Linked DNA regions of Drosophila melanogaster. The protein of the gene in region 1 interacts with the protein of each later gene in a pairwise test. Each region holds a gene or a part of one and is shown on either strand. Other genes may lie near its edges. The genes, in order: CG17002 and Marf1.

Region 1 (5,582 bases):
GCAACGGTCCAATGGCCTGCATCCTTGAATTTTATAGATGTCCTTTCATTAGATTTCAAAACAATCTATAGTAATGTCGAATAGTATTTCAATGTACTATACTTCAGGTATAAAACTTATGTAACACTTAATGAATGCTCCGAATGACAGGTCTTGAAAATCATATATTCAGCGCAAGTTTCCCAGTGCTTGCATATGAATTAAAATGAACAAGAACCACGAATTGTTTTCAGTGTGGAAATGGGTCTCGCTACGCTGGGCGCAGCTGGTGGGTTCTGTAGACAAGTGAGGTGTACAGTGGTGTGGGGATTGGGATGCAGCACCCCTCCTGAAAAAGGGGAAGTTTCGAGGCCGGGATTGCCGGCGCGTTCAAGTGCTGTTTGTTGTCGTTCTGCACAGGTTCCCCTCGGGAAAGGGTATACAAACAGTACAGTCTGTGGCCAGTGTTTATGTATGTGTTGATTCGGTGCAGTCACGTTTGAAAACTAAGAAGTTTAGAGACTTGTTTACGTTTAACAATTCTCATCGGTGACTGACCCAAATATAACACATCCAGTGCGTACGTTACACATCCAACTACACTGAGAAACACAAGAAAAAAAGGGGTTTCTTTTAGTTAGTCACAGCTTTATCTTGACAATGACTGCGCTTTGACTGCAAAGTAGTATCGAATTTTAAGCCCTTTTAAGCTTAATCTGTGAAGATTGTCCTAATTGTAATGTTTATCAACAATTCAACAAAGTTGCCATAGATTTCTCACTGTGCATGACTTCATCGTTTTGTTTGCTATATCACCCCCCGTGGGGATAAAACGAATTGTGAGGACTGCGGGGAGTGTTGCGACACGCCGGTAAACCTGGCACCTCGCAGGAGGCATATTCTCATTTATTAATGCGTCGTCACTGCTGTTCCCAGTTCCCATTCCTATTCCTCCTGTGCTGCGGTGGAGTGGGCGGCTCGGGTGGCGGGTTCGTGCAAAACGGTGGTGGCCGCTGTCTCAGCCGCACTTAATTCCCGCCAGAACTGCCGGGGCCATTAAAGGATAAAAGAGCGGGATTTCTGATTGGGAAGCGCTGACCCTGTTGGCCGCGATAAGTGGGTGCGCACAGCAGCAGGAGCACGGCATCTGCCTAATCCGACCGGCCCACTGTGCAGTGGGATGGGGAGTGGGGAGCATAAGTATTGATTTTTCTCACATGTCCCCGGCAAACACACACATCTTGTCTAGGGAGCCGCATCGCCCGCCCCCACCCCACTGCCCCTGCTCGGAGCAACTTCCTCCGACACCTGGCAGCGATTTGGAAGTTTTCGCAGCTCGTAAATGCTGCACTGCAGCCATAAAACGGCCGCTGCAATGACTCGCATGAATTGCGTTTGTTTATGCTATGGAAAAGGAATCCGGGGTCTGCTGTATGTCGTTTGGGATGCTCCATAGGCAGAGAAATGCTCGATGTTACTCACTCGCCATGTTTGCCGCCTTTGTTGATTATTCCGCTGCTGCTTCTTCCGTTTTTATGCTTTTCTGCTTTTCTTGCTCTGCGTTGGTTGCGATTCCAGGCACGTTGTATCACTGTTAGCTTGTAACAAACACTGCTGATAGGCTAATGACTGCTGCGCGCAACTGAACACATTTCACGGCTTTCTTTCAGTCGCGTCTCCGTTCAACTTCCGCAATATCCGTATAATTCGTATTATCCGTGTAATCCGTATTTTCCGAATCGCGTTCAGACGTTCACACCAACAACTGCAATTCTAGTGTGACCGCAGAGCTCGAGCTGCACGATACCTCCAATGAGAGATGCCATATCGATGCTTACGCATTTTATTAACATCGATAGACATTTCTAGAATGTCTAGACTTTAATGCTTGGATTTTCCAAAAACTATAATCTGTTTCCAAAAAGTTATCGATAAGTATCGATCAGTGTTGAAACTATTTGTATTTTATATTAAATTCTGGGGTGTGACTAGTAATATTAGGAATATAAGCTTTAAAGAAAAAATCGAATTCTTTATAAGTGATTTAGTTCGAACGTTAACTTAAGATTTGCCACCACAATCGGAAAGTAGCTATTTTCTAGCTAGCTTTGCCCATTAATCGATTGGTGGCAACACTGGTCGGCACATCCCACTCACTCAACAAATTGTTTACCACAAAAAACCGTGCTGAAAGTGAACGAAAATAAAGTGCAGCCCGGCGTCGAGCATTTGCAGTGATCCCAAGACGCCCAACCATTGATTCCCGTAGCGGTGTCCACCCGGATTCCAGCCCACCGCCACCAGCACGCCATTCCATTTGGGGAGCCTCTCGGTCGGTTCGGTCAAACAGTCGCGATTGCCCGGTCGTCCACGAACGCTTATAAAATTGGCAAGATAACTAAGCAGAGCACAAAGATGCCGCCAGCATCAGCGGTAAACAACAGCAACGCGGCCGCCCAGGCGGCGAAGGCCGAGCGGGCGGAGAAGCTGCGCGGGGCACTGAAGGGCTTCATCGTGGCGGACCGCCAGCGGCGCCAGGAGGAGTTCGAGGCTCAGTGCGAGGAGCAGCGGCTGCGACGGGAGCGCGAGGAGGTGGAGCGCCAGAACCAGGTGGCCCTGGATGACACACGCGGCCAGATAACCCGACTGGACGAGCAGCTGGCCGATCTGCACAGCCAGAAGCATCAGCTGACCGTCCAACTCAAGAAGGTGCTCAACGAGGACGAAACGCGCAAGAAGCTGGCCAAGGAGAACGAACTGTTCGCCATCCAGCAGGCGGCGGCCAGTAGCCCGGTCTTCCTGCCGCCCCTGCGCCTCCAACACCAGCACCATACGCTGATGCAGAAGGTCTCGACTGCGCAATTGTGGGATTCAGGTTCTAATGGTCCTCTTTTTTCCTCGCAGCTCCCGTCCGGCGGACAGCCAGGAAAACGTGGCAGGAGTCCATCGCCGCCGAGTCAGCAGCAGGCTTACTACAAGAGCGCCGCCAGCTACGCCCAGCAGAGTAAGCCAGGAAGAGGTCGACAATGTGGTCCCTGGGCCTCCGATACAGTGAACGCTGCCTCAGGCAGGCAGTCCAAAGTCTCATGCACGCAATTTCGGTTGGATTTTGTTAACTCGAATGCGGGATCTGCTCATAATTTGATTAGTCATTGAATTGGTTAGCACATATGTATGGTTCTTGATTTGGACGAGAGATATACGTGATTTTTGTGATGTCATCATCTCTACATTCTGATTGCCAAGCCCTTTTTTAAGCTCTATGAAATATTAGCACTAATATCAATTGAACTTCTAATTAGGAATGATTGCAAAAACATGGTTAAGTGTTAAGTAAATAATCAATTCGATATAAAGAAAGTTTCGTGCTGTTTAGGCTTTGTATTGGATGGTTTAGTTTAATGTGTTTTAATGTGCACAAAAATTACCCTATTATTTTGAAGGATATATAGTGTAGAAACGATATATATAGGGTTTCTAGCAGATAGCTCGAGTTTTAAAATTCAACTGCAAATTGGCATTGGCTAAAGGTGCGATACAATCACCGATTGATCTGTTCTGCGGAGCTTTCGCTGTTCTTCTTGATTAACTGCTCGCTAACACTCCGTCCCGTTCATGAGAAATCCATTTCACTGCGCACACTAACCTCTAACAACACAGGCACACAACTTATGTTCATTTCGTTATTTGTTTACGATCGATTCGCAGAACACGATGACTACCGTCGTGCCGCTGACTATGCTAGATTATCATGGAACAGTAAGCACCTCACTTGCAATACCAAGCCCGAGATCCTCCGTCGGAACGATCGCCAGATTCGTCAATTAAACCTCACTTTTCCTCTCTTCCAGAAACAGCGGCACAGTATCCGGGCACGGGAACGGTCTTCTACCAGACGGTCGCTCCTCCGCCGACGACACAGCACCAGGCGGACGCCCGCTTGCAGTCCATCTACAACTACAACCTTCCGTTGCGCCAGGCCTACCACGTGGACCTGCCCAGCGCCACGGTCAGCAAGCCGCCCGACTCGCAGTCGCCCAAGGCACCGTCGCAGTCGCAGCCCATGCAAGTGCTTCACATCAACCTCGACCAGCCGACCATTTCGCAGGCAGACCTGGTGGCTCAAGCCGGCGGCAGCCTCTCGGTAAAGGCCTCCCAGCCACACGTGACTATGGAGAAGCTACCGGACCGCTACCACATCGAGGTGAAGCACGACGGCCAGCCGCCGAGCCACGTCCCGCCTCCGCCACACCTGCTGCCGGAGGGCGTCATCTTCAAGCCGCTGCTCAACGAACTCTCATTGCACAGCAACGTGCTGCAGATAAGCAGCAGCCAGGTGGGTCTCATTCTCAACATTTGTGGTTAATTAGCCGTGGCAGTGTCTTAGAATTTACAACTTAGAACAAACAAGTTAGATTTACATCTTCGAAATCGAAGTTCAACGATTAGGCTCTGCGAAAATGGTTTTTAAAGCCTGAGCATCTTGAATAAGAGCTGTTTTCTATAAAACAAATTCATTGTTGCAGGTTTTCATGTTTTCATAGGAAAACGCATTAGAACCAACTTCCCAACTACTGATTAACATGTTTGATATCATTTACAAGGAAGAACTAAATATTCACTTGACTAACGCCTGGCCAGTTTCCTCCACAGAATCCGAAAACAGCGGGAAGCATCACACAGGGCTATGCCCCTGGACGAGGTGGATCCGCCCACGAGCAGCAGTTGGCTCGGCAACAGCTGGCGATGCTGCCTGGCCAGCCGGGAGCACCGTCCGGATCCGGCTCCGCCCAGCCGCCTCCTGGTCAGCAGATGCATTACACGCGGCGATTGTACTAGCCTCTAACCCCTAACCCCTTTTGTCGCTACGGAACTCGCTAACTGATATACTTACGATTTTAAATAGACATTACAACACTGACTACGCTTCCCACGTGAAGTCGGATAAACGAAATAAAGCACACAACTATGGCGTCCCTATTTTCCAATCGACAATACCATACTGATATTTGATATTGATTTGATATTTGGTATCAATGGGCTTCTGTGGTTCTGTGGTTATACCATAATAACTTTGAGGTATCGTAGTTCTAATCACCAACAGGCAAATTGATCTAACTCGAAAGAGTTTTTGAAATTCTGGGCAATAGAAATTGGATCATGTATACATATAAAAAATGACTATTATATAAAATGGTATGTACAGCTGTGTTCAGAAAAATAGCAGTGCGAGGAATACTAATTAATACAAAGGTATTTTTCCATGTCCCTTTTCGGAATTGACTTTTTATTCCACTTATTTTTGTTAAATGGAATGTGTATATAGGGAAAAAAAGAAAATCCGGTTAGTTTTTCATGTTATCCTTTTTTTATTTACTTTCTTAAGCGAAATCACAACTTTTAGGCTGTTCATAAGAATAGCAGTGTCTGGTTTTGACCAACGTAAAGTCAGGAAATGATCAATATTTTTAAAAAGTGAGTTTGATTAATTCGTACATTTAAAAGGGGAGTAAATGAAAAAAATTATATATTAGTGGGTAAAGGACAGCACTGCTCCCAGGAGAAAAGAATGTTAATTATTAAGCTTAGAAAGGAAGTAAAAA
Region 2 (4,908 bases), on another chromosome or scaffold:
TGGGTAAGATAATCAAGCTTTTCGAAGTAGTAGGCATTTGATGTTAAAACTTCACATATACTATTTTGATATGTATTTTCCATTGATCATATTATTTGTTGATCCTGTATCTAGTAGGCATTTGTATGTGCACCCTTTGTATACTATTTTTATGTATTCGTGTTGTCGGGGCCGTTGACCGAAAATTTTCGTTTAGTTCAGAACCATTTTGATATATATATATTTTGATATATAATATTTCGTTATTAATTTGTACGGGTTGGATCGGTTGTTGCCCTTCATTTATGAACCCATGATTTTGATATGGATTGTATTGATTTTGGTCATAATACTGTTGTTCGTAATAATTAGGTTGGACTTGTTCGAATTCATGTGCGTCTTGGAATCTCATTTCGTCAATAGACATTTTGAAGTTAGAATTCTTAGTTGTGGAGGCTTGTTGTATTGTAGTTGAGGGTATGTATTTCTTATAAAATGTGCTGTTTGAGGATTTTGGATTTGTTGGAAATGACTTTTGGGAATACTTGGTTGAATGCTGATATATGGGCTGGACTTGAAATAATTGGGTGGTATTGATTAAAATTAGGATGGAAGGGTTGAGAATATTGTGGGTAACTTGGTGGATATTGATACAAATACCCAATTGTATTGAAGTTGTGTGATTTTGAATTCAGATAAGGATTTGAGTTTTATTACGGATTTCGAGAAATTTGTTCAATCCAAAATTATTATGTTCTTTATAAATTCCCTCACTCTGTGCAATAGTAAAGTCTGTAATATCACGATGAGCCAAAATATTGTAGTAAATAATTGTATTGGTAGTTATAAGAGTCACTCGTGGAGTCAAAAAGGCATACCAGATTCGTAGAAAAGTATGTAACAGTCGGGAGAAAGCGTTTCCGACTGTATAGAGCTTACATATGTATAAATATATTTGATAGGGATCAATAGCCGGAGTCGATCTGTCCGTGTCAACGTCGAGATCTCAGGAAATATAAGAACTAGACGGTTGAGATTAAGCATACAGATTCTAGAGACATAGACGCAGCGCAAGTTTGTTGACGCATATTGCCACGCCCACTCTAACGGCCACAAGCCGCCCAAAACTGTCAGTTATTAGTCGATTTGACAAAAACTTTTTGCCACGCCCACTGTAACGCCAAGAAGCCGCCGAAGTGGTCACGCCCACACATTTGAACAATTTTTAATTACTTCTCATTTTATTCCCCAATATCTATCGATATCCCACAAAAATGATAAAAATTTCGCGTTTGCATTCATACTAGCTGAGTAAAGGGTATCTGATAGTTGGGGAAAACGACTATAGCATTCTCTCTTGTTGTATATCTGTAAGTTCATTGGATGAATTGAATTTCCTCCCAATTTTTCCTTTTTTTATTTTTTTTTTGTTTGTTGAACAAGGTGCTTGTTAAAGAAACTACAATTGAGCCAAGACAATTTTATAAAACTACAAAAAGAAAAATTATTTAATCAAAATAATAAAAATTTAATTAACCCCAAACTTTTCAATCACCTTCCAGTGCCTATGCCCGCCACCTTCCAGCCTCCACACAAGTCATCAATGTTTTCTACACACGTAGCCTCCTCAGTTGTTTAAGGGATCACAAAGTCTAAGCTTCGCATGTGCCGTGTTGTTTTAAGTGAATTTTGAGTTTTATTGTCGTAAATTATATAATTAGTTCATATACAATCATGTAAGTACAACAAATATTAATAAATATTCTTAGTGGCATGACCATTAGTAAAATATTAATTGAATTACTATATTACTTAATCTAAGCCTATGATTATAGTACCAATATTAATTAAGAATGATCTATGAATAACGATTTTAATCATTTTAATAATCCAATGACTGGTTAAGGCTCTAGGCAAATTACTTAAACAAGTGCTAACGAACATTACATTGACTGCATTTCGCGCGGGAGTATACATATACATACACATTTTTATGTACGCACATGTATGCCAAGAAAATGGCTTAAAACTAAATTCATGTAGAATTTGTATAGTGCACGATAAAAATGCAACCCAAATTCAACCATAAGCACATTTATTTTGATGGTCTGCAGCACTTCGCAAGTTTTGAAACCAATTCGGATATTATATTTTAAATTTCCTTTTCGTTTAGTATTCACAAAATCCGACGATTTTAAACACATATTCATATTCATATAGATAGTTGAATTGAAACTGTTTTCCAACCAAATTGGTTGGAAATTGATATTGATGTGTGTTGTGGATTGGAAAGGAGGATGTGTCGTGTTGCTACGCGTGCATCTTATGAAGAGTGTTGGGATTTATATTGATGTACACATAAACATACGTAACAATTTAAGCTAGGGCTAAAACAGATTAAATAAATTCGAGTTAATAAAATAAAATGGCTCATTATGCACGCTTTTCGTATAATTTCCCGAGCCTATAAAATATGTACAGTATGAAGTGAGCATACACCACATGGCTTAAGCTTAGAAAAAAATATCTTTATTTTTTATTGTACAAAAAATTAATGATGTGATAGTTGTGCGGATGATCTTAAATCCTGCTCGTGGAAGCATTTTTTTATATCATGAACCTAAACAGGTGTCGAATTGTTGTTGGATAGTTTGCTGTTATCACTCGATCAGAATCTATATGCGAAAACAATTTTGCCCACGGCCACTCTACTTCAAGCCACTTCAACTTCAAGCCGCCCACACGTTCGAAAAATTATTTTATTTGTCTACAGTTTTTTTGACAATTTTAATCGATAACCTAATAAAATGAAACAGTACATTTTTCTTGTGCTCTCCCACTATCTGAGTATCCGGTATCAAGAAACTCGACTATATCGTAATTTCTTGTCTTACCTCTTAAGTATTAAGTATTACCTAGTATTAAAATATATATTTGAAATATGTATGTATAAGATGAGTGCTGTGTTTCTCATCTTCCTATATATTATGAAAATTACAAGCTTAAAGTTAACCGCTTAAGACAGATCACCATACGCTCCCTCGATTAATAATTACCTGGAAAGCCTGTTGAGCCTAGATTTTCTTCGCATAAAGTAAATGTACATTTTTTTAACTCTATGCCGCGGAAAAACGTTGGTAATTTGGAAAAATTATATTCCGCCTACAAAAGGTAATCCTTTAAGTAATCCAAATGCTGTGTGATGGTACAGGTGTTGGAGGTGACCTGGAACAACGGACAGACGGCGATGACAGAAATGGGGCGGAGTCATTAAGAAACCATTATAAATGAGGATTCAGTTTGGTTTTATTAAGATTGCAGCGCTTTCTAATTCGGAAGAAATGTTACTTAACTACTACTTAACGAAATTCTGAATATTGTCAACAAAATCTGAAGAAAAATCAATGTACAAAATCTTAACAAATTCTGCAGAAGTTTGGAAAGGTGTGAAAATGAACTTCAGCAAGGTTCAAAAATCTGAAAACAAATTAGTAAAAAAAAAGCACATGTAATGTTTTAATGTAACCAGGGAGTACAAAATGTGTATACATTTCAGGTAACCATGAAAGCAAAGTAATATTTGAAAAGAAAATTAATTAGCTTCCTAGGTCACATCCCCAACCGTAGATGTCTATGAGCAAACTTCTTTGCCCGAATTCGGGAGTCAAGGGAGTCAAGGGAATTGGAGACCTATGCGGTTTTCAGGCACTACCGGTCCACAATAAAGTGGGGAAAACGCATATGCGGTCTTAGCCACTTATTTCTCATTTTGGACTGGACTTTGTTAAGAAGGTAAATGCAAATATTATTTTCGTAAAGAATTCTCTAGAACATGAAAGCGGCACAATAATGATAATTGTATTATTGAATCGTCGAGGGCCTTGGCAACCGGGACCGGGACATTTGCAGACCCTTATCAAGCCATTCCTTAATAAAATCGCTACTATCCAATCCGATTGGGAACGCGTAATTATTAAAAATAACCTTTTCCCAATGGGCGTATCGCATAGGTCATAATCAGAAAATCGAGATAACCTTACAACAACCGCGTGTGTGTTTTCGATAAAAAAGGACATTGTGAAAATGGCAATAAGAAAAACGTATCGTTATCCATTTTAAGAAACTAAAGAACGCTATTGACGCTGAATACTTTACAATACTTCAAATTATGGGAAAAGCTCCACATTTTACAACATCGGACCTTAAATCGTAATTCCATCAAATCGAGTAATTAGAGAAATACAGGGAAACCCCTGAAATATTTTTTAATGACGAACTGCATTTCTACAGAACTACAGAACTGCATTCTGCACCACTCGGACTGCAAATTGCACCAAATTTTTTCCAAAGGACAATCGATGATGCTTTGCGGAACAGATCTTAAATAAACATGCTACGTGTATGTCGATGACGTCAGTTCTTCACAAAAACTAAAGATCATCAAATAAGATATAGAACAGAGCTTAAAAAGTTTATAAAAGCCGGCATCAGGCAGTCTCAAGAAAAGTAAATCGAGGCCTTCCAATCACCTACGTTGATTTACCAAAACTAATATTGCCATCATTCATAGTGATGATGCTCTCTCGTACCTTTTAACTGTTTCCGTAATCAAAAATAATCGCGGAAGCAGACTTCTCATCTACGAAAATCTTTATCCGGCCAAAATAAATTTCTATCGTTTCCCAAAAAAAAACGTTTTGCCACGCCCACTCTAACGCCCTAAAACCGCCCAAAATTGATGGATATTTCTTCATAATTTTATTAGTCTTGTAAATTTATATCGATTTGCTAAACAACTTTTTGCCATGCCCACGCCCACTAACGCCTTAAAGCCGCCAAGACGGTCGCGTCCATACTTGTTTTACAAACATGTTTTACATTTTTTTTTCGTTCTATTCCCCAATATCTATGGATATCCCAAAAAATTTA

The links.
Region 2: the proteins of CG17002 (region 1) and Marf1 interact in a two-hybrid assay, tested with the Drosophila melanogaster proteins (one large-scale study listed by BioGRID).

What each region holds. Positions count from the first base shown.
Region 1 is NT_033778.4:6,983,951-6,989,532, forward strand, and holds CG17002 (uncharacterized protein), read left to right. Parts: upstream 1-2,092; 5' UTR 2,093-2,394; coding exon 2,395-2,826; intron 2,827-2,883; coding exon 2,884-2,983; intron 2,984-3,687; coding exon 3,688-3,738; intron 3,739-3,830; coding exon 3,831-4,315; intron 4,316-4,620; coding exon 4,621-4,818; 3' UTR 4,819-4,972; downstream 4,973-5,582. Other genes in the region: vimar (visceral mesodermal armadillo-repeats), read right to left, coding at 1,462-1,468.
Region 2 is NT_033779.5:22,310,324-22,315,231, forward strand, and holds the start of Marf1 (meiosis regulator and mRNA stability factor 1), read left to right. Parts: upstream 1-1,603; 5' UTR 1,604-1,715; intron 1,716-4,908.